4 linked regions of the Saccharomyces cerevisiae S288C genome follow. Changing the gene in region 1 together with any one later gene gives a genetic interaction. Each region holds a gene or a part of one and is shown in the gene's direction. Other genes may lie near its edges.

Region 1 (8,357 bases):
GTTTGCAATTTGTATTAAGTTTGTTTCAAGCTCCGAACTAGGAAAAATCAACAATCTGCTGCAAGGAAGATTGATATACACAGATAATTCCGTTGCGACAAATGTATTAGAATCCAAATTTCCATTCTTGAAATCAACATGTGTTAAAGACGCACTAAAATTATTTTTGCCACAATGTATTGCAAATGGACTTGAATCCATTGACGCTGAAACAAGGGTAGAAACGGCCATTAAACTTTCAATATGCGAGTTTCAGGCATCTGGCTTGGGCGAAATACCAGAAAATTGCATGGTTGACGACCTAGGATCAATGATGGATTGTATGTTTGAACTAGAATCATCTTCACAGTGGTGGACAACTTATAGTGGAAATTATCAGCGACTATCGAGTATTTGTTATGAAAATCTTCTTCCTTTTGAAAAAGAACAGATACTGAAACTTTTTCTAAATATCACTGAACTTTATGATTCATTTGGGGATGATGTCGATACTAAGTTAAATCATCTGATGTTTCAAATGGAGCAAGATTCTCAAAATTTTTTGGACGATCTGGCCAGGATGTTCCGCAACTATGACAATGAACTGCGAAATGCGACCGAAAGCAATCGAATAATCTTAGAAAACGACCTCTCATTTTTTAGAAATAAAGTGAATGATGTACTCTATGAAACTTCCGAACAACTAGAGGTCCAAATCATAGAGAAGAACAGTCAACTAATGAATGAAGTTGATACCGTCCATCATATTATGAGCGATCTAGCCGATGAGCTTGCTAAAAATGACATAAAATCTAAGATAAATGACTTGAAGGACGACAGCCTGAATAATTTACAGGACCTAGTGGAAATGTCCAACGACGTAAAAGAATATTACTCTAGAAATAACAAGTTAGTTAATACCGAGTTGGAAAACTTCTCGATGGGTTTAAAAAAACAGTTAGGAGGCATGTCAAAGGATCTTTCTGAATCACAAATGGAAGCTATAGAGCTCTTGCAAGGGTTCAATTCCATCCTTCATGATTCATTGTTACCATCCATGACGGATGAGATAGTACCTGAGATGACGAACTTCAAAAATACCTTACTACAAGAATGGACAGCTATAACATCTACACTAAATGGAGATTTTGCTTTATGGAATGAGGAGATTTTTTCAACTTTTAATGATATTTCAGAGAAACTGAATGGCACAAAAAAAAAATTAGACGACATTGAAATCAGAGTCTCACTTGTCCATAAAAATGTCATGACAATGATGAGGGTATTGGATTTTATGTGGAAAACTAGTAAAATGATTATAAGATGTGGGTACCTTGCAGTCAAGAATAAATACTACTGGTTACTGTGCTCCGTTGTGTGGATTTGGTCAAAATACCGTACGTCTCGAGTAAACGTCAAAATGATTCCTATTAAACGCTATTACCAATGGGCAGCTCTTCTACTTTCAATTTATCTAGGAGCTAAGACTGGCTCATTGATTGATTTTTAACATTACCGATGTAACAATATATGAAAGCCTATATATACATAGATGTATAGGTATATAGCCGCATTCAAAGTCTAGCAAAATAAATATTCTTTAAAAATTCAAGGACACCGGATCATGGTGGCCATAATACGGGCAAGTGAACCTAGAGAAGGTGTCCTACGTCACTATCCAAGTTAATTTGCTTAAGAGAGTTCGAGTGCAGCACCTACAGCTTTATCATTGAAGACGAAGCAAAAAGATCTTGAGATTCTATATCATGGGCACAGGTAGTATTCATTAGGTAGTAGTAACGTATTAAACAAGGCCATACTATATTTATAACTCATGTTCAAATACAACCGCTCACTCTGTAGCAGCGCTTTGATAGCAAAGTCTCAGATTCGTTTTTATAGATTGAAGCGGGCGCCATTGAATTATGCCTCCCATATACCTGAAGTTCTTAATAAGACCATCATAGGGCCAGACGAACCAGAAAAATGTCTCATTTTGAAAGGAAAAACATCAGAGGAAATCGAAAATAATCTTCTCAGTAATAAGAAATTTCAGGAGATCAATCCTCTTGATACTATCCAGGAAACGTTCATTCAATATCTGAAATTTTGTAATGAAACTAACTTTAAAAGAAGTAACAAGAATTTAAACAGATTAAAAAAAACCTTAGAAAGCAAGGACTCTAATAGCACCGTAAAAATTAATGCAGTTTTCAATTATTTGCTCGAAGAGTGTGATTTAGAAATCAAAAGATTGAACACGACCGGCCAAACCCAGGTATACAATGAAGAGAAAGGAAATGAAGATGACTTAGAGCAATCCATAATGAACGATATTTTCCGATCAGCACAAGAACAATTTGAAGATCAAGAGGGCCATATACCGTTAAGGAGTACATCATTTTTACTGGAGATTTTGAAAAGTTTTAATGAACGGTTTAATGGCATAATCAAACCGAAAGAGTCAATAACAGAAATGGTCACATTCAGCCAACTTGCTCAAGCTTTTGAAGTTGTTAAATTGATACCAGTGCAAGAAATGAAGGAGAAAGGGATTTACTTGGTCGGAAATTTACTTTATGGCACAGGGAAAGTTCGTTTAGATCCTATAAATGAGTCATTCTATATTGAATCCCTACTAGTTTTTGGAAACTATAAGGCTGCATACAGTTTATTTATTACCAATAAAGACAAAGTAAACGAGCGCTGGTGGAATGAACTAGGATTAATGATCACATTAAGGTCTAACCACTTGAGAAACTTCAGGAAACTTTTAGCCGAGACAGATGCAAAGTACTCAACAAAGTATTCTTATTTGAGCCCAAGAGTTACCAAATTGAGCATACGAAAATATTTGTCGATTGGCAATGTTACTGAAGCTAATATACTGACTGATCGATTTATTAAGTTAGTGGAAGAAGTTGGAATAATCAGAATGAAAGATGAGCAGGAGGAACTTCCCACGGGAGTTAAAAATTTTCAGAATGAGAAACATGCAACTGAGTTCTTAAATGAACTAGAAATACCATCGGATCATGATTATATCAGCATTGTTGATTTCCATCTTTATAAGAGAAATATTCCCATGGCGGCTCAACTTATCAGCAAGTACATGGAAATACCTGGAACGACACAAGAAGATGCCGCATTTCTACTTGTTAAAACCAAGCTAAATATGTTGAAAGATTTTGAAAAGCTACGAAACATTTTTGCTCAAAATAAAGATTATGTAGTGCCTGAGAATAATGTGAAAATGTTGCAAGAGGCATTTGAGAGCGTTATTACTAAGTATAACACTAATTCTCCAATATACAATGAATTGCTGTTTGAGAATGTTTCGGCCTTAACAAAAAGTATTGTATTAACTGATTTTCTGGAAGAGTTCATTACTAAACAGGCTTCTGGACAGTGGATGGAATTAAACAGTGTGTCACGTTCCAGAAAGTTTAATGGCTTGTTGAACATACTTCTCGGTACAGGTGAAGAAGAAAAAGCATATAATATCTTAAAAAAACTAGAAGAAGCCTCAAAGAAATCAAAAACAGATCCAGATTTACTCTATAATCAGTTTTATTCGGAAGTTAATGCATATCATTACGCTAAATTTGTTGAATTTTATAGTCTTCAAATTCAAAATATGAAGGCACAAAATACGCCCTCATTTAGAAAAAAGGAATTTAAGCAGAAAGTGAAGTCACTTTTAAAAAGAATGCAGGAGTCAGAGGTTATCCCAAATGCTGTTTTTTTGAGAGAAATACTCAATTTTTATGATAGCATGTATGACTTTAATTCAAGTTTTGAGATCATCAATCCGCTACTTGAATCCAAACAACAGGTGAGCTCTGAGTCTTCATTATCCACCTCAAACCCTTGCCGATTTTACAACCGTCGCATCATAACAAAACCGCTGTACCACAAGATTTGGTCTGTGTATTGCCATTATTATCATGTTTTACAAAATAATTCTAGGATTTTATCGAAAAAGTCGTCCATTGTAAAGAAATTAATAAAAAGGCAGATAAAGATTCACCCAACTTGTCACCCAAGAGTATTGTTCCAAATGACGGCAGAAAATGGTGAAATTTTGCCAGACAAAACTTTTTCTAAATTAATTGTGTCCACGTTCATGAAAAGCGGGGATTTAGAAGCAATACCTGCCATATTAACGTTTCTAACGAAAAAATTTGACTTGAATATTGATTACGATTTGAGTATGTATATTCTAAAGGGTTTGAAAAGACAATATTTACGAGATATTAGTAACATCAGTAAAGATGCTTGTGAGTACAAGTTACGGAAGGCGGAGCTAATGAATAATGAGTCAATCTTAAAAAACATTCCACAGGGTACAAATCAAGAGAATACAATATCCCATTTGATCAGGGAGATTTTGATCTTTATAAAATGGAAGGAAAAAAGTGATTGTTCTACTTTCTTGATGGTAGAAGATGCTTTTAAAGAATTAGGAACAGAGTTTACTTTACTCGAAGAATTAATAGAAGATGTAAATAAGTTAAAGATAAAAGCCTAAAAAAACGGATGCATTTTATATAATTTTAGCTATACGTGTACATATTTGTAATAAAGTTAAAAGAGGAGACTGTTTAGCTTTGTATTTATTTTTTACTTAATTTCATCCATTTAGGTACTCTATTTAAAGTCTTTTTGATACTTGTAGCGTTATCAGAAGGGCCCTGTGGATTGGATTTATTTATCGTATTAACTGATGGGGTTGTCCTCGTTTCGTGTGTGATTTTTTGTGCGTCTTCCAAAAGATGAGCCTTTATTAATGGGCCATTAGAATTTGAATTTGTTTCAAAAAGCAGCATTGTTTTAGAGCCAAATTCCAGGTCATCCAGTAGCTTCTTATCGTCTTTAGCCAAGGGTTTGAAAGGATGAGATTGGTTTAACGTAAAAGGCATGTTCTCATCGATCAGGAACTGCGACACGACGTTATAAACTGTACGCATGTCTTCATTGGGTTTGAATGCTATTTGAATATGGCTTCTATCGGGGAACTTGACTCTCAGCAAACACTCAGATATAGCCTTATTTTTCTTTGGCAAGTTGTTGGCTGATTGCTCTCTAAGTCTCTTTGTCAAAATAGGACCACCCAAAGTACCAGCCTTCGATGATAACATTTTTTGGTATTTCTTGGCTTGTTCTACTGTCAATTCATAATCTTCTTCATCCTCGATTTGATCCTTGATAACTGCTAATGGCTCATCCGAGGGCAAAAACACAGAAGGTTTATGTAGTTCGTGAGGTGGTAGTGAAGCAACCGTTTCCGGGTTCGTCATCGTAGGGGGAGTTTGTTTTGGGTGAATAGCGCTATTAGCGCTAATGCCCTCAGAATGAGATGTATTATTAAAAATCAATCTAACTGACGAAGGCTCCTGAATCCCTAAATTTTCGAGAGTCAAATTCTCATCCTTAATTGTTTTGAACTCTATTATCTTGGAAAAGACCTGGATCTTAAAATCATCTCCCGCAGCGCCGCTCATCTGTCGCAAGATAGGGGCAATTGGTTGGTCAGATGGCATTTCTTTAACCACGGAATCTCTTCCTGGGATTTGAAACCGTATTTTGATCGTATTGAATGGAATATCTTCGCGGTTGGTCTTATTCGCCACCGGAAAATTACTACTTTTAGATAATTCTAAGTTGACACCCGTTGGTAAGTTTAGAAGCCTCCATGGCAAATCTAATGGCACCGGTTTATCCAAATGTATCAATGACCAGTCGTTTGACGAGGTGTGCAGTTGAAAGAATTGTATGGATTGGTGTAACACATCGTTTAGTGTTGAATTCAACGAAACTTTACATTTGAAAAGTTGGAAGTTATACTTCACGGTAACCATAGGCATTGTATTGTGCGCTTATTAGTCTGCCTTGCTATTCTTCGCAGTACGTAGATTTATCTTAGTTTTTGCATTTTTTGGTTTTCTTTTTTTTTTGCCACACATAGTACAATAAAAGAGAACTTGAATCTTTGAAGAAACGTCTAAATTAACATCGAAGATAGAAGACAGGGAAACATCTAGGATTGCAAGAAATAGTGCTGAAATTTTGTAATAAAGTTGCAAGAAATAGCATCTAGCGTTTTATAAGGCGTACATCTTTCTTGGCAAGAGTTCCAAGAGAAAAGAGGAGCAAAACAGCGGTTGAGGCGCCCGCTATCTTGAATATTATACAGTTTCTTTAAAAACGCTTGTACAACACTGCATAAACATGGACAAATTATTGAAATTGTTTCAAGATATTTCCCATATCATATTCCAATAGCGTTACTCTCTCATCGCTTATTCTGGAATCATTATTTTAATAAAGATAACTCACACGATATACGTGTACTGAGCTGACCTTTATACCTACCCTTACCTGCTTATTCCTGATAAAAATGTTCGTGCAACTAATTGTTTGATTTCTCTTGCGGCCCGGTTATTCCGGAGTTGATACTTTTTTTCTTCTGTCTTAATTACGTTTTTTTCCTCTAGACTTTTTTGATCTGGTACAATTGAAAATGTATAAATCAACTGGACCCTAAAAATAAAAAAAAAAAACGCCCATTAGAAAAGAGGATATATTGAACAAAAGATGTTGAAAGAGCCCTCAGTTCGCTTGCGGGAGGCTATTATTGAAGGCAATTTACTTATAGTGAAAAGATTATTGCGACGGAATCCGGATTTGCTAACCAACATAGACTCAGAGAACGGATGGAGTTCATTACATTACGCCTCATACCATGGAAGATACCTTATATGCGTGTATTTAATTCAGCTGGGGCACGACAAGCATGAACTAATAAAAACCTTTAAAGGAAACACCTGTGTGCATTTAGCATTAATGAAAGGGCACGAGCAAACCTTACATTTACTTTTGCAACAATTTCCGCGATTTATCAACCATCGCGGAGAGAATGGTAGAGCCCCCATCCATATAGCATGTATGAACGATTACTACCAATGTCTGAGTCTGTTGATAGGAGTTGGTGCTGATTTATGGGTAATGGACACTAATGGCGACACGCCGCTGCATGTATGCCTGGAGTATGGCAGTATAAGTTGTATGAAGATGCTTCTCAATGAAGGTGAGGTGTCCTTGGATGATAATGTCAGGGACAAGGGAAATTGGAAGCCAATAGATGTAGCACAAACGTTTGAAGTAGGTAATATATATTCAAAAGTGTTAAAAGAGGTGAAAAAGAAGGGGCCACCGTTGGGTGCAGGCAAAAAACCAAGTTCATTCAGAACTCCTATACTAAATGCGAAGGCCACTTTCGAGGACGGGCCTTCCCCAGTTTTAAGCATGAATTCGCCATATTCGCTCTATTCCAATAATAGTCCGTTGCCGGTATTACCAAGAAGGATATCAACGCATACAACAAGCGGTAACGGTGGGAATCGGAGGAGTTCTATCACAAATCCAGTATTCAACCCACGAAAACCAACCTTGTCTACGGACAGTTTTTCGTCAAGCTCAAATTCCAGCTCGAGACTAAGAGTGAACTCCATCAACGTCAAGACTCCAGTAGGTGTGTCGCCCAAGAAAGAGCTTGTATCTGAATCAGTACGACACAGTGCAACACCAACAAGTCCGCACAACAACATCGCGTTGATTAATAGATACTTGTTGCCTAACAAGAGCAATGACAACGTGAGAGGAGACTCACAGACAGCTACAATCAACGATGACGGTGGCGGCGGCAATGGCGGTGATGCCACTATAGGAATGGGACTAAGAAAGGACCCGGACGATGAGAACGAGAACAAGTACAAGATTAAGGTAAACAATGGCGAGCCGAGGAGACGAGTGTCACTTCTGAACATACCCATCTCAAAATTAAGAAATAGCAATAACACGCGTGCAGAAGATTGAGAAGACTACTACGTATTTTTTTTTATATGCATCCTTTTTTCCACATATGTATGCGCGGTGCGCGCGCGCCATTAAAAGATTTTTTTCTTAGCTCTTTTTCTTTTTTCTTTTTCTTTCCACTGAGATGCGTTCTTCGGTATATAGTGAGAACACTTACAACTGTATACGAACATCGAAGGAGCACCTAACAGAAAGAAGGAGGGTCGCCATGGCGCCAATGTTCCAACATTTCTTAAACTTATGCGTGGAAAAATTTCCTGAATCCATCGAGCACAAGGATACAGATGGAAACGGTAACTTCACCACCGCTATTTTAGAAAGGGAGATTATCTACATCCCCGAAGATGACACTGACAGTATTGACAGCGTTGACAGCCTCAAGTGTATAAACTACAAGCTGCACAAATCTCGCGGCGACCAAGTGCTGGACGCCTGTGTGCAATTGATAGACAAGCACCTGGGCGCCAAGTATCGCCGGGCCTCGCGCATTATGTACGGCA
Region 2 (8,232 bases), on another chromosome or scaffold:
AACACTAGTTTTGATTGACCAGATTATAGATTTCGCCCCGCATAATTTGGATTTACGCTTTTTCAAGATAAAGTTATTAGGTCGTTCACTACAACTTGATGAATTACGAGATTTTTTTCAGCAAACTTTCTCCTCTTTAGAGGATTTTAAGATCAGTGGCACGGAAAGATTATATTATAAATACGTAAACTTTCTGCGGTACCAAGATCTGAATGAAGAGGCTATAAAATTCTTGAATGAGAGATGTTTGAAATCATTTCCCATCTGCCACAAATTTTTTTTACAGCTGGGTCAAATTTATCATTCCATGGGCAATATTGAAATGAGTAGAGAAACCTATTTGTCTGGTACAAGGTTAGTGCCCAATTGCCCTTTATTATGGGTTTCCCTATCAAAGATTGACGAGATTGATCTAAAAAATCCAGTAAGGGCAAGATCAATTTTAGATAGAGGATTGTTAAAAAATCCTGACGATGTATTATTTTACATTGCTAAAATCCAAATGGAAATAAGACTTGGTAACTTAGATCAGGCGGAGTTACTCGTCACACAGGCATTGCAAAAGTTTCCAAGCAATGCTTTACTTTGGGTGGAGCAAATCAAGCTGTTTAAGCATGGAAACAAAAGTTCGTTAAAAAAAACAATTTTTCAAGATGCTTTAAGAAGGACACAAAACGATCATCGCGTTCTTTTGGAGATTGGAGTATCCTTTTATGCAGAAGCGCAATATGAAACATCATTAAAATGGTTAGAAAGAGCTCTGAAAAAGTGCTCGCGTTACGGAGATACATGGGTTTGGCTATTTAGGACATATGCAAGGTTAGGCAAGGATACTGTTGATCTCTACAATATGTTCGATCAATGTGAGCCTACTTACGGACCCGAATGGATAGCCGCCTCCAAGAACGTAAAAATGCAATACTGCACACCTAGAGAGATTTTATTGCGCTTGATGAATGACAAATAAAGTAATTCTATCTTGCGTTGTTTTCTACTTAGCCTGCGCGTATATTTATATGTATGTATGTATGTATACACATAATTGATAGAAGCGATGCTCAAAAAAAAAGTTAAAGAAAAGAATTAGATTTAATTAAGATTATAAGTAGTGCTTCATAGGTATTAAGACAACAAATGGTCTTTCTTACAAACGTAAAAATTTGAAGCAAAATGATGTATGTGTTTAAGGAATTTATTCGTATTTTTTTAATGAAAAAAAAATTTAAAAACAGTGCATATTTATTTGTGGCCTTTGGTCGCTACAATCCAATCCCATCTTCTTTCATGTATTAACACTTCATCGTTGCGCGTTATAATGCAGAAGATAAAAAAAGGATCGAAGTGTTTCTTTTCCAGCGAAGTTTCGGTCTCAAATAATAATACGTCAGGAAAAAGAAGGAAAAAAACATTGCTACATCAGCAGATCAAAGCATTTACTCAGAGTCGGTGGCTACATCCTCCTCCTCTTCTTGGGCTTTCTTGGCCTTCTTGGCCTTCTTAGCCTTCTTAGCCTTCTTCTTGTCCTTCTTGTGCTTCTTCTTTAGCTTTAACTTCTCCTTGATACTAGAGTCAGAATCAGATGACTTGAAAGAAGCTGGAGATGGCATCTTCTTTTCAGCAACTGGACCAACATGTTCAGCGGGTTCTTCGTCGAAGATTAAACCTAATCTTTCAATCCCCAAATAGTTAGCCAATGGCATGAAAAGAACTGGCAAGATAGATAGGATCAACAAATCAATAATACCATAGAAAATGGTAGCAGAATCTGGTTGCAAAACGTTACCACCATCTGTGATACCAAAACAGGTTGGGTAAGCAATCAGCCACAAAAACATGATGACACTCATGAAAGTAATGAAAACGTTAGAGACATCCTTACCTCTGGCCTTGACCAGGTTGAATGTAGTTGTCATCAAACTAATACAAACAACAATGGCAGCACCAATACCAATGGTGTAGTAACCCCATTTGTAAGTAGAGTGGACACAGGCAGCAATCAACCAGCAGACAGTAAATATTTCAGTCATACCAACATTGAAAGCAATTTGCCATAATGGAGTACCACCAAGTAGAGACATTTGAATAATTGGCCATGGGAAAGCCAAAAACCAGCCAACGTATCTAGCGTAAAAAATTTGTCTGTAACCTGGGTGCTCCTTTTGGGTAGAAGTTTGTACATGGTTGTACTTTGCTCTGACTGGGATCCAACCCAAGTTAGAAGCCATGGTGAAATAAGCAATTGACATGAACAAATTTGGAGCAATGGCCGTATAATATACGAATCTGTCCTTAACTGGTTTTCTAAACATTAGTGGGACTAAAATCACACCGAATAGTAGGTTAACACAAAAAACGGTGAAAAGCCAGTCTGAACCACGAGATGTAATGTGGAAATCAGCACCGGTTGGTGGATTAATTTTGATGGCTTCGTTACCACCTCTTTTCAATAGTTCAACATAATCAGACATTTTGATGCTTTTTTTAAAAAATAGTGTCACTTTAAGTTATCAGGAAAATTAGAAGATTTTTAAAATTAAATATTAATAATTAAAGAATTAGTGGTTAAACGTTATTAGATTGTTTGGAATTAAAAGAAAAAAATTCTAGATTGATTAAAAATAACCAGAATAAGCTATTAGTTTTGAGTAAAAAAGGGTTTTTAGAAAAAAAATTATGGTAAGTTCTTAGGACTTCTTGTCTATGTTAAAGTATCCAAAGATAAATAGATAGTTTTTTTCGGGTTGGAATATTACTGTTATTTGCTGACACAATCTTGACACTTGATTATATAATCGTAAATGAGAAAAGGTTAATAACAAATATCGAAGAAAACAAGAGAAGAAAAGGGCGGAAAACCATAACTAACACACTGTCTTACATGTAAACCGAATAAGTTCGGTTCTTTATATATCTTTTCGGTAAGCTTCCAGTAATTGAAAGGATCATGAATAAGCAACAACCCGATGAGGAATCATCCCGATCTAACATTGAAATTTTCTAGGGGTTTTACTAACTAATCTGATTGGAAAGCACAATTATCCAGTGAACTACTAAGATGACGAAATTATTCGTTTACACAGAAATAGTGAAAGGCATTTTTGCTTTTACAAGAGGCTATTTTTTTTTTTCTTCATGCTTCTTAAAGGGATTCATGCATTGGACCGGAGAAAAGTCCGCAGAACGACCACTCGAGGGTAAGAAAAAAACAGCTCAGATTTCCTATTTGAGGCAAATTATGCGGAAATTGAAGAATCGAAAATCACGGAAGTGGTACCAAAATCGGTAGGTTGTTTTCAATTTACCCTTTTTTTCCATTCCCTCATTTAGAACCCATAGCGAGGTCGAAATATCCCTTAGCCATTGGTGTGATGTCTATAGTTATTTCCCTCAGTCAACCCAAAGCAAGATTTACATTGTGTTAACGTATGCCGTGATATGAACAAACACACCGGCCTACATAGCTAAGTTAATCAAAGAAGGTGTAGATAAACTAGGTTACATAACTGCCTATTGGCAAGCTTTCTTGCTATCTTAACAGCAAAGCTCTTAAGTCGTGATCTTCTCTTCTGATTCTCTTCCGATGGCATATAGATTTGAAGACGACAAGGAAAGCTAAGCAACTTCCTAGTTTTCGTCTAAAAAAACCGAAGGTTTTTCCGGTGATTTTCGGAAACATGCAGAAGAGTCCTTAGAAATCTTAGGTAAATTCACTCGGCATGTCTGCTAAAGATCGGTCTAGGCCATGCGCGTAAAACGGGAAAGGGTTCGCTCAATGGCAGATGCTGCCATACGAGGACACAACCAAGATGAGGCCTCCCAAAGCGGTACTCGCGTTAAGAAAGAAGGGCTTTGGAGGCAACCGGGTAGGGTGTCTTCTTTGTAAAGTTTGTCTAATGTTGGAGAATGGTTGCCACCCGGGGAAGAAAACTGCTCAGGGCGGATAACAGGAAAATAACATGTTGCGTGCACTTGTTTCCGTTGAAGGGAGATGGAAAGACTACTTAAAACAAAGTAAAGAAAAACATCTCAAAAATATTGAGAGAAAATGTGGTCCAGGAACCAAAGATGGTATACTATTTTGCTTTAGTTTATTTTTGCCTTCTTGTTTAATTATTACTCAATTGGTATATGTAATTGAGTAAATATACAAATTGTAGCTTGTGTTTTTGTTTTTCACAAATGACATCGGTATGTATTTTTCAACATATCTTCGCCATTTCTGTGAGCTATTCCGAACACCGCTTGAAACGATTTGTATTTTGCACAATCGTCATCGAAGTTCAAAAGTCAATTGCTTTTCCTAATAGAGTTAAAAGTCGGTCTACGAAAGTAAAATGTATACTCAGTAAGAGCGGTCTTTGTCTACAGTTCTCCAAAGTGGTAGTTATATCGGGAATGGGTAAATGCATTACACAACAACAAGGAGTTCTAAAAGAGTAACTGTGAACGCCAAAGGAAAAGATATAAAAAAAGTATGTCCCTTTTTAATACCTTTTTCGTTAAGCCGCTACAGCTACCTCTTGACTAACTGAGAAGCTGAATGGATAAGGAACAAAATCGTACGTAAATTTTCTCATCCATTTTACTTGGTCAACAGATTCTATAATTGTAAAGCTGTAGCTTGCACTTGATTTTGTTCCTAGAAATGCATTCAAAATTATTTAATGGTCGCCAAGAACAGCTAGGTGAAAGTTTACCCGGTCGGGCTTTAAGGGGAAGCCAATGCTTATTCAAAGCATATGGACATATATGAAGATGTCCTGTAAGATTCTTAGATTAAGTTTATATGCATTGAGCAACTAGACACTTTTCGTAAAATGAGTAGTGTTGGCGATTTTGAAGAAATTATTTTGCATGATTTAAAACCTTATTATCACGTTCCCGGTGCCATACATAGTGAAGGAATAACCTTCGTTAAGGAAACCGGTACACTGTTGTGGGTTGATATTTTTAAAGGAGAGGTTCATAAAGTCGAAGACATAGAACAGCCTGAATCCAGTCATTCTTTTTTTTCCATTAGTAGAGCCAATTATGGCAAGAATGCGTCAATTGAGTACCCTCCCAATCCAGATGAATTAAAAGAATCCGTGGGCTGTATATTTCCAATACTTGATGGGGCTTCACAAAATGAAATCAAACAAGTATTATTTGGTAGTAAATTTGGCATAGGAAAATTGGATTTTAGCAAAAGTGAATGGGAATATGTCATTTTGTATTCCGAATGTCCTGAATTGAGTACAGACAGAGCATATAAGTTGAGATCTAATGATGGGAACGTTTCGCCAGATGGAAAATATATTTATGTGGGGCTAATGAGCGATTTTCCATTTGATTTGGAACCTATTGGGTGTTTGCTTCGTGTTGACCTATTAGCTCACAAGATAGAGCTTGTTTGGAATTGCTTGTTAATTCCTAACGCGATCCACTGGGATGAAAGTGATCAAAAGACGATGTACGTGACTGATTCTTTAAACTTCACTATTTGGAAATGTCCTGGTGGCGACTTGCTAAAACGTGACGAGTTAATTGACGTGAAGAACTCCAACAATCAATCTTTTGAGTCTCCTGAACCAGATGGAAGTGCAATTTGGTTTAGCAAAGACGGAAAACATTCTGGGTTTCTGTTTATCACTGTCTGGTCCACCAGTAAGGTTCAAATGTTCGATTTAACTAACGGAAAATTGCTGAAGGAGTTCATTTTGCCGGAGCAGACACCAAGAGTTTCATGTTGTTGTTTTGTTGGTAAAGATCTCTTCGTGACCACTGCCAATGCAGAAATCAACGATGCTGTAAGAACCAATACTGACAAGAATGGTGGCTGCATCTACAAAATTCCAAACGTGCTAGACGGAAATGTTCCTCTGGAATCTACAAAGCGACAACCTCTCCACTAGGTGTATATACATATGTTTATATATATGCAGCATACGTATCCAGCGCATGTAACTAGCGTCATATGACACCGCTTATGGGCAAATTGAAGCGAAGCTCCCAAACTTGTCCTTATACATCGAATAATAGCCGTTCCATTTTGGTTGCCTAGTTATAAGGAGGGAACACCTAAGGGGCGGACAATCAAAAATACATAAAAGAGCGGAAAAGAAAAGAAATAAAAAGAAACCACATTTTATATCACACTTTTCTCGAGAAACATCGAACATCAAGACCTCCAGCATACTACTCACTATTATAAGCACATACTACGCCACATAGATAATGCCGAAAGTCGCTATTTTGATTTATTCAGTGGACGATATAATTGCCACATTAGCAGAAAATGAAAAAAAAGGTATAGAGATAGCTGGTGGTGAGGCTGAGATTTTCCAAGTGCCAGACGTCAGCTATAAAACTGAATATGCGACAGAAGAGGGAAAAGAGGCAGCCAAAGTCGCCAAAACTAATGCAGATTTTTCCTATAAAATCCTAACAAGAGAAACGTTGGTTGAGTACGATTACTACTTATTCGGAATACCTACTAAGTTTGGAAACTTCCCCGCGGAGTGGAAAAGCTTTTGGGACTCGAATACTGGTGGGCTTTGGGCAAAGGGTTCTCTCCATGGCAAAATTGCCGGTTTGTTTGTTTCAGGCGCAATAAGCGGCAAGGGTGATACAGAAATGTGTATCATGAACGCAATGAGTACTCTGGTCCATCATGGTGTCATTTATGTCCCATTGGGGTATAAGAACGCATACAAGGAATTGACCGACGTTGAAGATGTGAACGGGTCTTGCGCCTGGGGCGCAGGATGTGTTTCTGGAATCGACGGTGGCAGACCTCCCAGTTTATCCGAGCTAAGAGTTCACCAACTTCAAGGGAAGGCCTTTTACGACCGTATCAAAGATTTGTAAAACCGTATATATCTTTACATAAGTACGATATGGTATAACTGTAACATTGAAGGACTGAAGGACTGAAGGACTGAAGGACTATAGTCAAGGGCCAATGGGGAAGGTCCCTTCCAGGCCATTTGCCCGATAGTTTGTCCTTCTCTTGCTTTTCCGACGGCCCGATTGCATGTGGCGGGGCAGCACTGGATAAAAAAACGTGGGGGGAGTGATTAAATTTATACGCTTATTGTGTCAACACGGAAACCTTATAGTTATCATTACTAACATCGCAACAAGCTGCTTTTTTACTCGTTTTTAGCCACACCATACCCCCTTTAATTAACTAATAATGCATAAAATAGTTATTGCTTCTTGAGTTGCAGCTTCTTCCTGGACGTACTGTTATATATGGCATGTCTTCGCATGTCCGTCAAATTTAGCGTTGTCTCGAAACTTAGGCTGTCGTTCTTGCTGTCTGTCTTCTGATAAAATAATATATTGGAATAAGAAAAAAAAAATAGGAACAAGAAAGTGTGTGAGAATGACTTTGAGTAATTGCGACTCTTTGGATAACTTATTCCAGGACCCTCCAGAGGAAGAAGAAAGTAGTAAATTCGTTGAGGCGGTCAGAACTTTGATGAATAGAAACGATATGGGATATCCTCCCGCCGCTGCAAATGGTACGTATTGCTTAAAAAAAATCAAGTCTTTGAATGCCAAACAGTGGAAAATAAACAAGAAAAGAATGTGCATGTTGCCAGCAGTAAAGAAGAAAAATTTCGACTTTCACGAGCAAAGAAGTTTAATCTTGAATTTAAATTTATGGAAATTCATCAAGTTTATCAATTGTAGTAGTAAAAACAATTACAATAAAAATAATAAGCATGTGAGAAGCTCGAACAACACTGTAAAAAATGAAAATGTTTTACCGTTACAAAAACACAAGAAAGTGGACAATGATCAAAGATTGGAGAACCTTTTTTGGAGAAGCTGGTTTAAGGCACGCAAAAGGAGAGATATAATGGGCAAGCCACGAGAGAGGCATATCAAATTTAACGATAACGTTGAACAGTGTATTATAACTGATGAGCATTTCATACAAAGGCTTCCTTCTACACGGTTGAATTCGACTGATGAACAGCGCCCTTGTTCAAAGTCTGAACTAGATCCCTGTATTGGCAACGCAGCAAGTAAGCGAAGTTTCTATGATTATAACAGCGTTTACGTCGCGAGTGACGCAATTATTACGACTGCCGCTGCCACTGCCATTATCAGTAGTAATAGTGGAGACTATCAGCGTGGGCACGATGTTCGCGATGTTCCAAGAAATGTTTTGTTACAGGCAGGAGAAACAGATTTCAGTAGTGTGCTTCGGGTTGACTCCGATCTCAAGTTATCCAACAT
Region 3 (8,708 bases), on another chromosome or scaffold:
CACTTATGATTCAAGTGTTATTTGTAATATTTGTAGAGTTAAGATGCAAGTTCCAGGTGAGCATTTTGCGCCCATGGGTCCCAATGGGCAACGAAGTGATTTGAACGAAAAATCAGAGTTATTGCACGGAACAGTCGATTTCTTGGTGCCAAGTATTTACAATGCTATTCAGGAGAAGGAGCTTTTACCACTACACTACGTGTTTTTGATTGATGTTTCATTGTTAGCTAATGAGAACGGAAGTTCTTTAGCCATGGTGGAAGGTGTCAGGTCATGTATTGAGTATATTTCAGATTTCCAGCCAAATTGTGAGGTTGCTATAATCGTTTATGATAATAAGTTGCGGTTCTTTAATTTGAGACCAGATTTAGATAATGCACAAGAGTACATTGTAAGTGAATTGGACGATGTTTTCTTACCATTTTATAATGGATTATTTGTTAAACCCGGAAACTCGATGAAAATCATTAATGACACATTGATAAAAATTAGTGGTTACATCTCCACCGACAAGTATAGTCACGTACCCCAAGTCTGTTATGGTTCTGCTTTACAAGCCGCAAAATTAGCGTTAGACACAGTAACTGGCGGGCAAGGTGGTAAGATTATTTGTTCTTTGAACAGCTTGCCAACGATCGGCAACGGGAATTTATCGCTAAAAAGGGACAATGCACACATTGCTCATGTTAAATGCGACAATGGGTTCTATAAGAAATTAGCATCGGATTTTTTGAAATCCTACATTTCTTTAGATTTATATGTGACCAATGCGGGATTCATTGATATGGCCACTGTGGGCCATCCTGTAGAGATGACTTCCGGTATTTTGAAATATTATCCCCACTTTCAACAAGAGACGGATGCCTTCACTTTGGTTAACGACATGGTTACAAATGTCTCCAATATTGTTGGTTATCAAGCTTTATTGAAAGTTCGCTGTTCTACTGGGCTATCTGTGGAACAGTACTACTGCGATTCATCTGATAATACGGATCATGATCCAATTATTCCTGTATTGACTAGAGATACCACCTTAGATGTCTTACTAAAATATGACAGTAAAATAAAAACAGGAACCGATGTTCATTTCCAAACTGCATTGTTATATACTGATATTGATGGTGTCAGAAAAGTTCGTTCTATTAACACGTCAGGTGCGGTATCTAATAACATTCGTGAAATTTTCAAGTTTATAAATCAAAATCCTGTCATGAGAATAATGATCAAAGATGTCATAAAGACGCTCGGTGATTGTGACTTTGTAAAGATCAGAAGATTAATTGATGACAAGATGGTCGAAATCTTGACCCAATATAGAGGATTGGTTAGCAGTAACTCATCAACGCAATTGATACTGCCGGATTCTATAAAGACATTGCCTGCTTACATGTTAGCATTTGAAAAAAGCGAATTAATGAAGCCAAACGCTCAAAGTACCCGTGGTAATGAACGAATTTATGATTTATTGAAGTACGATTCATTGAACTCAGCACAACTTTGCTACAAACTTTATCCACAAATTGTGCCATTCCATGTATTATTAGAGGAAACTGATCTGACCTTTTACGATGCTAATGATAAATTATTACAGATCAACTCCAGCTCTATTAATAATCTATCTGTAAGAGCCTCACACTCTAATTTCATTAACGGCGGTTGCTACTTGATTTTCCAAGGTGATACTATCTATCTATGGTTTAATGAGAACACCAATAGAATGCTCTTGCAAGACCTGCTGTCAGTGGATGAATCCTTGCCCGTCAGCCAAATTTCGTTATTTAGTGGAACATTGCCTGAGACGGGCACTAGTATTAATCAAAAGGCTTCAAACGTCATTAAAAACTGGCAACAAGTAGTCAACAAGTCATCATTGCCGTTAGTCTTGTTGAGGCCTAATGTTGATCAATATTACAGTAATGTGATGAGTCAATTGCTTTGCGAGGACAAGACCGTCAACAGAATCGAATCATATGACAATTACTTGGTGATAATGCATAAAAAAATTCAAGAAAAACTTCAAAAAGACGATTTCATTAAAGTCTCGACTGCCGCAACTCACGAAAATATCCATCAAAAATTTGTGCAGTTTTGAGCCTCGCTCAAAGGAGACCCTGTGCTTACACGCAGAAAACTGGAAATAACGACATATTGTTGTGGCTGTGGCCGATGCGGTTCGTATATCCATTACTAAATAATTAAATACGTAAATGAATGAATAGACTGATATGATTGTGATTTTTACGTGTTGGCTATATTGTGCCTTTCTGCATTCACCTGCGCCTCCTCATGTAGAAAGGCGTTGATCAAGGGGAATACAGGAGAAGTATTTTTGGGTTCGTGTTTTGGTGGGGTTCCAGCCACAGAAGGGCTCTCGGCAGCGAAACGCTGACTATGCTGAGAATACTGCCAAAAAAAAAAAAAAGGCAGTATGTGAAACGCAGGCAGAGAAAGGGTGAAATTCTACATAGGATGAGAGAATCTCATAATTACAGGGATAAAACTGTAGCTTTGCTTCCTCTTTTATCTTTATTTTTTCTTGACTGTCTTCTGGTAAATCTTGCAAAATTACTACTATTTTGTATTTCAGAAGCGTTTTTTCCAAAGAATACTATATCAAACAGACGCAAATGAATCAAACAGGAAGGACCATAGGCGGTCCTCAAAATGGCGTGAATACAGTGATTAACCCCTTCAGAGTTTCTCCTTCAGAGGACAGAGTATCAAGCAGGGATGAAACGCCCAGGAATTATAAGTATGTGTAGCTCCACTCCCAAAATTGCACTACAGTGTAACTAACAGTCATGACTACTTCAGAATACTAACTTAACTCTTTTTCTCCTTTCAAAATCGATTGAGATAATCCATAATTATTGCAGTAACCCATTTTTAAATGAAGATGACACTAGGAGGGCCCATAACAGTAGCGTTTCCAATTCTAGACAAGAAAGACTCCCATCATATGAAGAAGCTGCGGGGACACCGAAACAGCAAGCTCCATACCCAAAAGAAAAGAAACGCAGTAGTGGTTCAAATAGTCACCAACACAACCACCACCACCATCGTCGTACATCACACGGACATAGGGACAAAGATAAGCAGAAGAGCAAAAGCAGAACCAAGGTTAAGCCCCCTAAAAATGTAGACACTATTGACAAGATGGATGTTACAGGATTATTTGGCGGATCTTTCCATCATGACGGCCCCTTTGATGCATGCACTCCACAGAGAAATAAGAATAATAAAGTGGCGCCTGTACTGGCCTTCCCAGCAGATGGTCCAAATAATACAGTAGGCGGCCGCACAAGTAAGAAGTCTACCTTAGATGAGGTGTTTGGTAGGGAAACAGTAGACGACGATTCTGAGACGCTGAACCAACTACAAGATAGAGCATATTTATTCAATAAGGCCAATTCCAGTACTACGACTTTGGATGCGATTAAACCGAATTCAAAAAATATTACCCAGTTCGATTCCAAAATGAAAACTGAACTAGTCCATGGGCCCATTACGATGGGTCTAGGCTCAACGACGTTCCTGGATGGCGCACCAGCGTCTTCCGCTGCCATAGAGCAAGATGTTATCAACCACGCACAAGAATCTCGTAGGAAAAACAGCATAGCAAGAAAAAAGTCTCTCCCCTCAAGAAGACATCTACAAGTGAACAACAACAATTTAAAGCTAGTGAAAACACATAGTGGACACTTGGAGCAAAAGGACGTAGACGATAATAGAACTTCTGTTCCGGTCACTGCCACCCAAGGAAGCGGTCACGAAGATGTTGTTAAAAAGGAAAACACCGGCAACAAGCTATTAAGGAGGGTGAAAAGCTTGAAAACTAGTAAAAAGCACTGATCAATGCTTCTTTCTTGCGTTCTTTTTGTTGCGCCCATATATTATTTTATTTATTACATTCATATAGCAATATTTACCTTATTTTATTGGTTACTTTTCTATACGCAAAATCACTACACTATGTTATGTTAAGGTCTCCGATACGGGAATATACCAATCAATACTTATCACTTCGGATTTTTTATGGGTCTTATCCCCACTGTTCCATTTTCTTGTTTAAGGCATCCCGGAGGATAAACTAAAAAGGTGGCCCATCCCACCCGAAATGAAAGTAATCATCTGCTAGCAAAAAGTAAAGAAATGAGAGCATGCTGTGATGTACTGGTGGACGAAATTGTGACCCATACCCACCGAAGAAACATCCGCATGACGTGTTACTGTTACTTCCCGGATTAAGGGATGCATTCTAACTCTGTGCGCCCTTTTCTCTGCAGTTGATCCGCATTCCCCGTGGCTGTGCACATTAGGGGACAGTAAGTAATTCACTTTCTGATCCCGCACTCATAGCGATGGAATAATATACCGGATTTCACACCTTGTTATTGAGTGAAGTACTGCTTGGTGAAATGATATCTTTATGTTCAATATTAATGGTCGTGTGGATGAATATATGGGCATGGGTTAATTAGTTTTAGGGGCACGGAGTAAACAAGAAAGGAGGGCCAGAATCATTAGTAGAGTACCTCAAGTTTGGTTTCTTTTTGATTTCACGTATAAAAGAGTCTCTCTCTTTTCTTTTCATGCTAGTCGAACGGTTCTCCCTCTAAGAATAAGAAACTATCAAAAGAAAGAGAAAAGTCGATTGAATAATTTTTCTATATATAATATACGCAAACAAGATTCGCTTTCACTTTGCAATTTTACTTCATAGCTTTGTTAAAACCAGCAAAAAATATTATTTTTCTAGAAAAAAGAATATATTAGAGGTAAAGAAAGAATGTCGGAACTTGAAAACGCTCATCAAGGCCCCTTGGAAGGGTCTGCTACTGTGAGCACAAATTCTAACTCATACAACGAGAAGTCAGGAAACTCGACTGCTCCTGGTACCGCCGGTTACAACGATAATTTGGCACAAGCTAAACCCGTCTCAAGTTACATTTCCCATGAAGGCCCTCCCAAAGACGAACTGGAAGAGCTTCAGAAGGAGGTTGACAAACAACTAGAGAAGAAATCGAAGTCGGATTTACTATTTGTATCCGTCTGCTGTTTGATGGTTGCTTTTGGTGGGTTCGTGTTTGGGTGGGATACTGGTACTATATCTGGTTTTGTCAGGCAAACAGACTTCATTAGGCGATTTGGCAGCACCCGTGCAAACGGGACTACCTATCTTTCCGATGTCAGAACCGGTTTGATGGTTTCTATTTTCAACATCGGCTGCGCTATCGGAGGTATAGTTTTGTCAAAGCTCGGTGATATGTATGGACGTAAGATTGGTCTGATGACTGTTGTCGTCATTTACTCAATTGGGATCATCATCCAAATCGCCTCCATTGACAAATGGTATCAATATTTCATTGGAAGAATCATCTCAGGACTGGGCGTTGGTGGTATTACAGTTTTGGCGCCTATGCTAATTTCTGAAGTGTCGCCTAAGCAGTTGCGTGGTACTCTGGTTTCATGTTACCAATTAATGATCACTTTCGGTATCTTTTTGGGATATTGTACTAATTTTGGTACCAAGAATTACTCAAACTCTGTCCAATGGAGGGTACCATTAGGCTTATGCTTTGCATGGTCTATTTTTATGATTGTTGGTATGACGTTCGTTCCTGAATCCCCACGTTATCTGGTAGAAGTGGGAAAAATTGAAGAGGCCAAGCGGTCCTTAGCAAGAGCTAACAAAACCACTGAAGACTCTCCTTTAGTAACTTTAGAAATGGAGAACTATCAGTCTTCTATTGAAGCTGAGAGATTGGCGGGCTCTGCTTCTTGGGGGGAATTGGTTACTGGTAAGCCCCAGATGTTCAGACGTACACTAATGGGTATGATGATTCAATCTTTACAACAGCTGACAGGTGACAATTACTTCTTTTACTATGGTACTACAATTTTCCAGGCTGTTGGTTTGGAAGATTCATTTGAAACTGCTATTGTTTTGGGTGTTGTTAATTTTGTTTCGACTTTTTTCTCGCTATATACCGTCGATCGTTTTGGTCGTCGTAATTGTTTGTTATGGGGCTGTGTAGGTATGATTTGTTGCTATGTCGTCTATGCCTCTGTTGGTGTTACCAGATTATGGCCAAACGGTCAAGATCAACCATCTTCAAAGGGTGCTGGTAACTGTATGATTGTTTTCGCATGTTTCTACATTTTCTGTTTCGCTACCACTTGGGCCCCCGTTGCCTATGTCCTTATCTCTGAGTCGTATCCCTTAAGAGTACGTGGTAAAGCAATGTCGATTGCAAGTGCCTGTAACTGGATTTGGGGGTTCTTGATCAGTTTTTTCACTCCATTTATTACTTCAGCAATCAATTTCTATTATGGCTATGTCTTTATGGGTTGTATGGTGTTCGCATACTTTTATGTGTTCTTCTTTGTTCCAGAGACAAAGGGCTTAACATTAGAAGAAGTCAACGAAATGTATGAAGAAAATGTGCTACCTTGGAAGTCTACCAAATGGATCCCACCATCTAGGAGAACAACAGATTATGACCTAGACGCTACTAGAAATGATCCGAGACCATTTTATAAAAGGATGTTCACTAAAGAAAAATAATCTCTTGTAGTGTAGGATCAACTATTTTCGCATACTTGCAATGTTCAGCATTGCACCATTTCAAATTTTAATATTAATATTAATCGTTTTCGTTCATATGTTCATTCATAGTTTACAAATAATGCAATCATATGCAGAGATATTTTGTCCGTGGTTAATAGGGCTGCCTGTTATTCCTTTAATTCAACTAAATTACGTATGTCTAATAATATCAAAATCATCATGACGTTTTTGTTTTTTTTCTTTATTTTAAGTAGGATCAAACCAGGGGAGAAAGGGTTGCTACGCCTAACAACAAGAACTTGTATATCGTTTCTTGTTACTTATACTTTTCTGCCCACTTCTCTCTTACAACTGCTCGAGCTCATCCTTGGTAATAAAACAGTGAGGACGGTTACTCGAGGTTTCAACAGGGGAAAATAAATTTATATGATGAATCAAGAGCCCCGTTCTTTTACCGTATTATCCTTCATACTACATACTAGGGAAAGAACTGAAAACTCCGCTACCTGCTGTAACAGCGCATAATAAAAAGCAAGAATATAGACAGTTACTGTTGTTTACGTTCTTTGATGACATCATTCTCATCAGACATACAGAAACACATCCTTTTTGTCTACCCCGTATTTATTCCAACTTCAAAGTATAGGTACCGTCCGGTTATACTCTCATATACTTTGTGGCAGTTTGCTTCTTTAAACCTTGTTAACCCAGAATATTTTCAGTGCAAAAAGCTTCCGATCCTCAAATACAGTGAGAGAAAAAGCAAACTTGTCTTCATTATTTTTCTGTTTGGCCCTGTCACGGTTCTTTTTATGGCCTTCTCGAAGGATATCCGTAGTCAATTATATTCACGTAGTTGCCAAAAGTAATTTTTGGAAAACTATTATTCCTCCGAGAAAACCTCACACAGAAATCCTTGCAGGTCTCATCTGGAATATAATTCCCCCCTCCTGAAGCAAATTTTTCCTTTGAGCCGGAATTTTTGATATTCCGAGTTCTTTTTTTCCATTCGCGGAGGTTATTCCATTCCTAAACGAGTGGCCACAATGAAACTTCAATTCATATCGACCGACTATTTTTCTCCGAACCAAAAAAATAGCAGGGCGAGATTGGAGCTGCGGAAAAAAGAGGAAAAAATTTTTTCGTAGTTTTCTTGTGCAAATTAGGGTGTAAGGTTTCTAGGGCTTATTGGTTCAAGCAGAAGAGACAACAATTGTAGGTCCTAAATTCAAGGCGGATGTAAGGAGTATTGGTTTCGAAAGTTTTTCCGAAGCGGCATGGCAGGGACTACTTGCGCATGCGCTCGGATTATCTTCATTTTTGCTTGCAAAAACGTAGAATCATGGTAAATTACATGAAGAATTCTCTTTTTTTTTTTTTTTTTTTTTTTTTTACCTCTAAAGAGTGTTGACCAACTGAAAAAACCCTTCTTCAAGAGAGTTAAACTAAGACTAACCATCATAACTTCCAAGGAATTAATCGATATCTTGCACTCCTGATTTTTCTTCAAAGAGACAGCGCAAAGGATTATGACACTGTTGCATTGAGTCAAAAGTTTTTCCGAAGTGACCCAGTGCTCTTTTTTTTTTTCCGTGAAGGACTGACAAATATGCGCACAAGATCCAATACGTAATGGAAATTCGGAAAAACTAGGAAGAAATGCTGCAGGGCATTGCCGTGCCGATCTTTTGTCTTTCAGATATATGAGAAAAAGAATATTCATCAAGTGCTGATAGAAGAATACCACTCATATGACGTGGGCAGAAGACAGCAAACGTAAACATGAGCTGCTGCGACATTTGATGGCTTTTATCCGACAAGCCAGGAAACTCCACCATTATCTAATGTAGCAAAATATTTCTTAACACCCGAAGTTGCGTGTCCCCCTCACGTTTTTAATCATTTGAATTAGTATATTGAAATTATATATAAAGGCAACAATGTCCCCATAATCAATTCCATCTGGGGTCTCATGTTCTTTCCCCACCTTAAAATCTATAAAGATATCATAATCGTCAACTAGTTGATATACGTAAAATCATGAATTCAACTCCCGATCTAATATCTCCTCAGAAATCCAATTCATCCAACTCATATGAATTGGAATCTGGTCGTTCAAAGGCCATGAATACTCCAG
Region 4 (8,217 bases), on another chromosome or scaffold:
CAATTGATTTTTGCCACAGATCATTTGCCCCATTCTACAGGAAAAGTATGGCCATTAATTTTTAGAAGAATCATCGTTGGATTGCTATTGTTTCAATTAACAATGACAGGAACACTGGCAGGATTCGAAGGAGGATGGGTTTTGTCATCTTGCCTTTTCCCGCTTCCAGTAGTGACATTATGTTTCCTATATGATTTCGAGAAGAACTATTTGCCGTTGTCAAAATATATCGCATTGAGTTCAATTCGCGAGTACGAAAGAGACAATTCTACGGTGAATTCTGCCAATGAGGAAGAGTCGTATGCATACCCTTACGCTGTGAGTGAATTAGAGGGTCCGATGTTGGATTGAAATCCCAAGGTGCTATTTCTATATTTATATATTTTGTTGTGAAAATGCCAAAATAAGATTTTTGATACAAGTAATACTGGATATTTTTTTATTTGCTTATAACAATAAATAAGTTCCTGACTTCTGTAGTAGTAGTATAAACTCCTGATGTATTAAATTCTTAATAACTGAAAAGTTAAACTTTGCCACGAAAACTATAAGTATTGGCTTAACCATGAAATATCGTAATAAAGACACACTTATAAAAATCTTTATGATATTCCAATAGGAAAGATTAGTTACAATCTTCAACGATTCAATAATATAGAGATTAGCTACCCACTTAATGATACTCATCGAAATTAGAGTATCATAAGGCCATATCAACATCAATATCGGAAAAATTTTGGCACCGTACGATAATAAGATCGTATATGATATGACATCCTTTGAAGAAACGGAATAGTGCTTCCAATGCAACTTTTTCAGTATGAAATACTGGGTAAAGGTGTGGAATAAAGAAACGTCAAGAATACAATAACTTGCAAAGTAAAGATATTGTATTGGTGGGCTCCAGGTAAACACTTTACTTGTAATGGTATTGCGCATGATTGCCGAGTCCCATTTGAAGCTCTCTGGTAATTTTTTTGAAAGCATGATGAGCTTACCATCATTATTGTTACGGTTCAAATAGTAGATGTATTTACTCTCCTCAGTAACCCAAGTTAAATAAATCTCGAATGATAATAGTAGAAGCCAAAGGCGATTTAACCGGTCATATTTACAAAACCAGTTCTTTACGTTAAATAACAAAGCTTGCGTATAGTCACGCAAACACTGGCAATCATTTAGCGCTTTTCTTTTCGGATATTTTGAGAGATGCAATTCCAAAGCATTGAATACCAAGTGTCTATATGCACCTGCTTTTAATAGAAGCAAATCAATGAATAACAGGACATTATCTATCTCAACATATTTGTCTACTGTCTCTTGGCAATATGGACAATCTGTCAGCTGAATGTGGTCATTCGAGTACACTGTATAAAGGGAATCTACGGGCCGCATGCACGTTATGCAAATCATCGTTTATCACAGCTAATATCTACTTTTTGATGCGCTTCATCCGTTCACTGACGCACCAAACCTTCCTTCTATGCAATGACAAGAATTTCTCAGCTTGATTTATGCCATTGATGTTTCTGAATCATCAATTGTTCACATAGGGCTATTCAATTTGGCCCGCTGTCCCTAAACTGAAAAAATACTAAGAAAAATTTTGCAAAAAATCTAAAATGATGAGGTGAAAGATCAAAAAAGAAAGATCAATAATTAAGAGGTTGGCAAGTCATCCTGATCGTGAAAAAAACTTAACAAGTACAAATAGAGTAATCAGCATTGGAAAATGTCTCGCGTTGGTGTCATGGTATTAGGACCTGCAGGTGCGGGGAAAAGCACATTTTGTAATTCCATTATATCACATATGCAAACTGTAGGACGAAGAGCTCATATTGTAAATTTAGACCCTGCCGCAGAAGCTACCAAGTATGAATTTACTATTGACATTAGAGATTTAATTTCCTTAGATGATGTCATGGAAGAAATGGATTTGGGCCCCAATGGTGCGCTAATATATTGCTTCGAATATCTTTTGAAAAATCTAGACTGGCTTGACGAAGAGATCGGGGATTTCAACGATGAATATTTAATCTTTGACTGTCCCGGTCAAATTGAACTCTACACGCATATCCCTGTCTTACCGAACATAGTGCGCCATTTAACTCAACAACTGAATTTCAACCTTTGCGCCACATATCTTTTGGAAGCGCCATTTGTGATAGATAGCTCAAAATTTTTTAGCGGTGCACTATCTGCTATGTCTGCGATGATTCTATTGGAACTACCCCATATCAATGTGTTGAGCAAACTAGACTTGATAAAAGGCGACATCAATAAGAAAAAACTGAAAAGATTTTTGAATCCCGATGCAATGTTATTAATGGAAACGGAAGGAATGAATCAAGCATCCAACCCTAAATTTCTAAGACTGAACCAGTGCATAGCCAACCTCGTCGATGATTTCGGTATGGTTCAATTTTTACCTTTGGAATCTAATAATCCTGACAGTATAGAAACCATATTATCGTATGTCGATGATATAACACAATGGGCAGAAGGACAAGAACAGAAAGAGCCTAACGACCAAATAGATGTCGAAGAATAGTTATAGAGAAAATTATGTACGCTTGATTCATATAAAAAGAGGTAAAAAAAAAAAATAGCTTCTCATAATAACCAATTCGGACTCGGGAAAGTACAAGTTCAAGTTTTTTATTGGTTTCTATATGTATAAGATAAAAATACCTAGATCTATTTAATTCTCTGTCTTGGGCCACCTGGTGATTTCTTATTCCTGGCTGTTAGGATTTCAACACCATGTTCGGTAACCAACAGTGTATGTTCAAATTGAGCACTCAGTTTACCGTCTTGGGTGGTAGAAGTCCAGTCATCAGGCCAGGTCATATCCTTCCAAGTACCTTCATTAATCATAGGTTCGATGGTGAAAACCATACCTGGTTTCATAACACCAGGTGTTCTATTCTTGGCGTAGTGGGGAATATTTGGGGAACAATGGAAAAATTCACCAACACCATGTCCACAATAAGTTCTTACTACACTGCACTTATTTTCGGTAGCGTGTTTTTCAATATGATCACCTAACTCTTGGAAGGTGGTACCTGGCTTACACATTTTAATGGCTAGTTTCAAACATTCTCTTGAGGTCTCAGTAGTATTAAGAGCTTCCTTAGAAATGTTTTCGCCGACATAATATGTCTCATTCAAGTCTGCATGATAACCTTGGTAGTATAAGGAAACATCTAAATTGACAATATCACCTTCCTTCAAGACAGTTTTATCGGGCACACCGTGACAAATAACTTCATTGACAGAGGTACAAAGCGATTTAGGAAAGTTGTAATAATTAAGAGGGGAAGGGTAGGCACCTCTCTTAATTGTTTCATTGTGGACGATTTCATCTAATTCATCTGTAGTGATGCCTGGTCTGACATGGGCAGCGGCAATATCAAGAACTTCTCTACCCAACATACATGCCTTTCTAATCTTCTTAATTTGATCTTTCTTGTATATAGGGATGTTGTTAAGTCTATCATTTCTTTGTTCACTGACTGGTAGCCCATTAGCGGCCCAGTCCGGTTTAGGAATATCTTCAGGGACATACCTTCTTGGGGTAAGTGGATATGAAGCCTTCACTTTACCAGAATATTTGAATTTTGGGAAAGGATCATAAGCACCTTCCAAGCCGTCCTTAGCATTGTGCAAAGCTTTGTGAGCTTTGTAGTTGTTTTCATAACAGCTTGTGTCGCAGAAAATGGAAACGATGCCTTGTTTTAGACAAACAGGGCATTTCATTTGGGACGAAGTTTCTCTACCACATTGCAAACCGGAGCAATATATCTTGGTAGGATGAGAAGCCTGATCGGAGGTAGTAACTGTTGTAGTTGCAGTGCTCATTATACAATTTTTTTGCTTATTTTTTTCTTGCTAGGAATATACACAATAGCGTTCTTGGGATGAATAATAATAATATCAGTTTTTCTTCTTTATATGAAAAATGAAAAAAAAAAAAAATAAGTAAAAAATTTTCGCTTTCTTTTCGGGGAGCAGCCAAATAAAGATTGCTGCTAGTTTAAATGAGATGGACCAAAAGCCATGGGCAGCAGTTCTCCCATTGTCATGACTTTAGAACGAGAACCTGTGGAATTAAGCATGACTATTGGAAAGTCCTTGACCACAAATTCATTGATAAACTGCCTGCAAACGCCGCAAGGGGAAACACACTGGTCCTCAGAATCGCCACAAATGACCATGCATTTCCATCCTGAGCGATGGCCTGCCATTAGAACTTGTATCATAGCAGATCGTTCTGCACATATACAATTACTGTAGCTTGCATTCTCGACATTAGCACCAGTGAAGATAACATCGTTATTTGTTAATATGGAACAACCGACACGGAAGTGAGAATAGGGGCTATAGGAGAGTTCACACGCCTTCAGTGCCGCCCTTTTTAAGGCTTCCAGTTGTCTGTCTTCTATGCCACCTACTTTCATTACCTTATTTCTCTGCTTGAGATTCTCTGTTTGGTTTTCCTAGTTTCTTGTACATAAACAGTTTGTGTTTATTTTGTCAAACTACTCGGAAATTGGCGAGCAGCGCCTTATCAAGATTACAGTTTGCAAATATAAAAATGTAAAGGAAAGAAAGCGTAAGGTAACAAGAAGAGAAACGGGGAAGATAATGGCCTTGGTCTCTAGAAGGTCGACAAGATCGGAAAGCACCTCAATAACAAAGGAAGAGCATACAGGAGAAGGTTCATTGACGAAGTTGTTCTTCCGATGGCTTGTTACCTTGGAGGGTGATCAGGATATAAACGATGGAAAAGGTTATATATCGTTACCGAATGTCTCGAATTATATATTCTTCCTTGGTGGCAGGTTCAGGACAGTAAAGGGCGCCAAACCGTTGTGGTTAGGTGTTCTCCTTGCTATTGTATGTCCCATGGTTCTCTTCTCCATATTTGAGGCTCACAAATTGTGGCATACCCAAAATGGTTATAAAGTGCTGGTCATTTTCTTCTATTATTTTTGGGTCATAACGCTAGCATCCTTTATCAGAACAGCCACTAGTGATCCTGGCGTTCTTCCGAGAAATATTCATTTAAGTCAACTAAGAAATAATTATCAGATCCCGCAAGAATATTACAACTTGATAACACTACCAACACATTCTTCAATTTCAAAAGACATTACTATCAAGTATTGTCCATCATGTAGGATATGGAGACCACCTCGGTCTTCTCACTGTTCCACATGTAACGTCTGCGTAATGGTTCATGACCACCATTGCATATGGGTCAATAATTGCATAGGAAAAAGGAACTACCGGTTCTTTTTAATATTCCTGTTAGGTGCAATACTTTCGTCCGTCATATTATTAACTAATTGTGCCATCCATATTGCACGGGAATCAGGGGGGCCTCGCGATTGTCCCGTTGCAATATTGTTACTTTGCTATGCAGGGCTAACCTTATGGTATCCGGCAATACTGTTTACTTATCACATATTTATGGCAGGTAATCAGCAAACAACAAGGGAATTTTTGAAAGGTATTGGATCGAAAAAAAACCCTGTATTCCATCGTGTGGTCAAGGAGGAAAACATATATAATAAGGGGTCCTTTTTGAAAAATATGGGTCACTTGATGTTAGAACCAAGGGGCCCAAGCTTTGTAAGTGCCAGAAAGCCACATGAAGCTGGAGATTGGAGATTTATGGATTTATCGCCAGCACACAGCTTTGAAAAAATACAGAAAATATAAGGAAGTATAGATATAAAGAACTCAGCGACACAGTAGTACGTAAAATATAAAAAGGTTACTGAAAGGAGTGAATTCCGCCATAGTATAGGTTGAGTATACGCAAATAAACGTTGGAAATTGGCTAGAATGTTAAAAAAAACATTCATTAAAAGGTTCTTTTCGTATAACTTTTACAACAAATAAGTGGTTGTTTGGCCGAGCGGTCTAAGGCGCCTGATTCAAGAAAATATCTTGACTGCAGTTAACTGTAGGAATACTCAGGTATCGTAAGATGCAAGAGTTCGAATCTCTTAGCAACCATTATTTTTGCCTTCCGAAAATTTTGAAGCTACATATTAGCACTCTTCTTCAGATGTCAGACAACGTGCAGCATCTTTTTTTCCTACCATTGAATATATATATAGTAATTACGGCAACCGTTTATATAAAAATTCAAAAGATTAAATATTTTAATATATTAGTGTCTGGTTTAAAAGTCATACTTCTCTAATCACTACCGTGAAAAAAGCAGTTCCATAAGTGTTCATTACTGACTTCTTGGTCTACCACGCTTATCTCAAACTTCGCATCATCGCTTTCCTCATTATCCGTTTCATCTTGTGCTTCGTCGTATTTATCGCCTTTTTTTGACTTCTCCTTTCTTTTGCGCTCTTCGAGTATACATTTATATCTGAGGATGTTTTCTTCAACGGTATTTCTGATCATGAAATTCCACACAAAAGTTTCTTCATCTTGTCCTATACGATTATTCCTTCCCATAGCTTGTAATTCATCACTATTATTAAGGATAGGATCTAGTAGGAAAATATGTTTTGCATTTATCAAATTCAGGCCGGCACCTAAAGTTTTCACATTCAAAAGTAGGCAAGTGACGGAAGGCTGGCGTTTGAAGTTATTTATAGTTTCGCCAACATTGGCTGTATTAGATAGACATGCCAAGTGTTCAATGTGATACAACTTTAATACCTTACCAATGACCTTTAAATATTCTGTCTTTTGAGAGTATAGAATAACTTGTGGCGGATCAGCGTTTTCCTGCTCACTTTTTAGCCTCAGGTAAGATATTAACTTGATGACGAAATCAATCTTAGCACCAAAACTTTCCTTTATGTGAATTTGATGGACTTCATTAATTTGATGGAATTGCTCGTATTTATTTCCGAATAATTTTTCTACTTCACTCATATTGGATATAATCGAGTTTTCATTTGAATTATCTTGAGACGAATCGGCGCCCTCTCTTCGTGGCTCTTGAATTTCTTTTTCCCTCTTCTCCGTTGAGTTCTTGAACTTAAAGTTATAGACTTCCGATATACTACAGAAACCTTTGCATATAGGGCATTTACTATGGGCTCGTAGCCACGTAAGGATACAACTCTTGCAAAAATAATGTCCACACTTAATGATAGCACCTATTTCAACTTCTCCCAAACAGATAGAGCAGCTCAATATTTGATTATCGTTTAATGTGTCTTTCAATCTGGACAAATTTTTTAAATATATCAGCCGTGATTCAATGTTATTGATTTTTGCATCTAGTGTACCGCCCAATGACTTATTGATAGTTCTTATTAGATGGCTGAGTTGTGGAGCACTCAAAGAGTGCAAGGACACCAATGAATCGGAAATCCTCTGTAATTGACTATAATATTCCGTCTTGGCATTATAAATCGATCCCAGGATTTTCAAAGATTCTCTTACCTGTTTATTGTACTTAAACAGGCTTTTACTTTCAACTTCGTACTGAAGTAAGTAGTCCTCAAAATTTTGAATGGTAGATTCACTTTCATTGCTTGAGGATATCCGTCTTACTATCCTGCTGTTCTTCAGTTCATCAAAAACAGTTCGTAGAGGTGTTCCTGAAATCAAGCGCAAGCTGTTCAATAACTGCTTTTGATATTTTGAAATTATTGAACCTTCCGGTACCAAATGCTTCGGAATTTTAACTTCTGATTCTGAAGTTAAAATATTGTCCCTATTCTGTAAAATTATCTCCAAGCAACCAAGAAGACTGAATATCTTATCTTGACTGTCAATCGATGTTGAATATTCTTCATTACCGATAATTTTATTAGTGCTATCATCGTCCTCTGTCCTGTGGACAGGTTCATAGATAATAATGAGTAACTCATCCAATAACTCGTTGAAGTTTTTAGTTTGTTCATTCAACCCTTCTATCAACTTACTCAAAGACTTGAAACAACGAGATACTGCTAAATTAGATGAGTAGTCATTTTTGTGGTCAAATTCAATATTGATTAATCGCAAAGGTATATTGCTCGTCATAGGAGCAAACTTAGTTCTGGCCATTTTAATAGTCATATCAACTTTTCTAGCCTCAGAGGAGAGGATTGACTTCCTCAAAATTTCTGCATTCGCATAATTTTCTTGTTCTAAAAGTCTATTCTCTTCAATTTCCTCTAACTCATTTTTTGGAAAAACATCAGAATACACCACTTCTTCAGTCTTCTCTTTTCGATGCTTGTCGTC

What was found.
Region 2: mutations in AVO2 (region 1) and YBR053C together harm fitness more than expected from each alone (negative genetic interaction), as found in Saccharomyces cerevisiae (2 studies listed by BioGRID).
Region 3: mutations in AVO2 (region 1) and HXT5 together harm fitness more than expected from each alone (negative genetic interaction), as found in Saccharomyces cerevisiae (2 studies listed by BioGRID).
Region 4: mutations in AVO2 (region 1) and ERF2 together harm fitness more than expected from each alone (negative genetic interaction), as found in Saccharomyces cerevisiae (2 studies listed by BioGRID).

Annotation. Positions count from the first base shown.
Region 1 is NC_001145.3:399,728-408,084, forward strand, and holds AVO2 (Avo2p), read left to right. Parts: upstream 1-6,576; coding exon 6,577-7,857; downstream 7,858-8,357. Other genes in the region: KAR5 (Kar5p), read left to right, coding at 1-1,489; SOV1 (Sov1p), read left to right, coding at 1,814-4,510; UBX4 (Ubx4p), read right to left, coding at 4,596-5,846; NAT4 (N-terminal L-serine N(alpha)-acetyltransferase NatD), read left to right, coding at 7,982-8,357. UniProt on the Saccharomyces cerevisiae protein: Component of TORC2, which regulates cell cycle-dependent polarization of the actin-cytoskeleton and cell wall integrity.
Region 2 is NC_001134.8:337,337-345,568, reverse strand, and holds YBR053C (regucalcin), read left to right. Parts: upstream 1-4,817; coding exon 4,818-5,894; downstream 5,895-8,232. Other genes in the region: U4/U6-U5 snRNP complex subunit PRP6, read left to right, coding at 1-967; YRO2 (Yro2p), read right to left, coding at 1,434-2,468; RFS1 (flavodoxin-like fold family protein), read left to right, coding at 6,217-6,849; protein phosphatase regulator REG2, read left to right, coding at 7,370-8,232.
Region 3 is NC_001140.6:292,529-301,236, reverse strand, and holds HXT5 (hexose transporter HXT5), read left to right. Parts: upstream 1-4,789; coding exon 4,790-6,568; downstream 6,569-8,708. Other genes in the region: SFB3 (Sfb3p), read left to right, coding at 1-2,092; PAL2 (Pal2p), read left to right, coding at 2,628-2,752, 2,877-3,852; hexose transporter HXT1, read left to right, coding at 8,612-8,708.
Region 4 is NC_001144.5:622,471-630,687, forward strand, and holds ERF2 (palmitoyltransferase ERF2), read left to right. Parts: upstream 1-4,647; coding exon 4,648-5,727; downstream 5,728-8,217. Other genes in the region: CSC1 (Csc1p), read left to right, coding at 1-351; sterol homeostasis protein ARV1, read right to left, coding at 448-1,413; putative signal sequence-binding GTPase GPN3, read left to right, coding at 1,733-2,551; methionine aminopeptidase MAP1, read right to left, coding at 2,698-3,861; CDD1 (cytidine deaminase), read right to left, coding at 4,032-4,460; E3 ubiquitin-protein ligase IRC20, read right to left, coding at 6,214-8,217. UniProt on the Saccharomyces cerevisiae protein: The ERF2-SHR5 complex is a palmitoyltransferase specific for Ras proteins. Palmitoylates RAS2, which is required for its proper plasma membrane localization.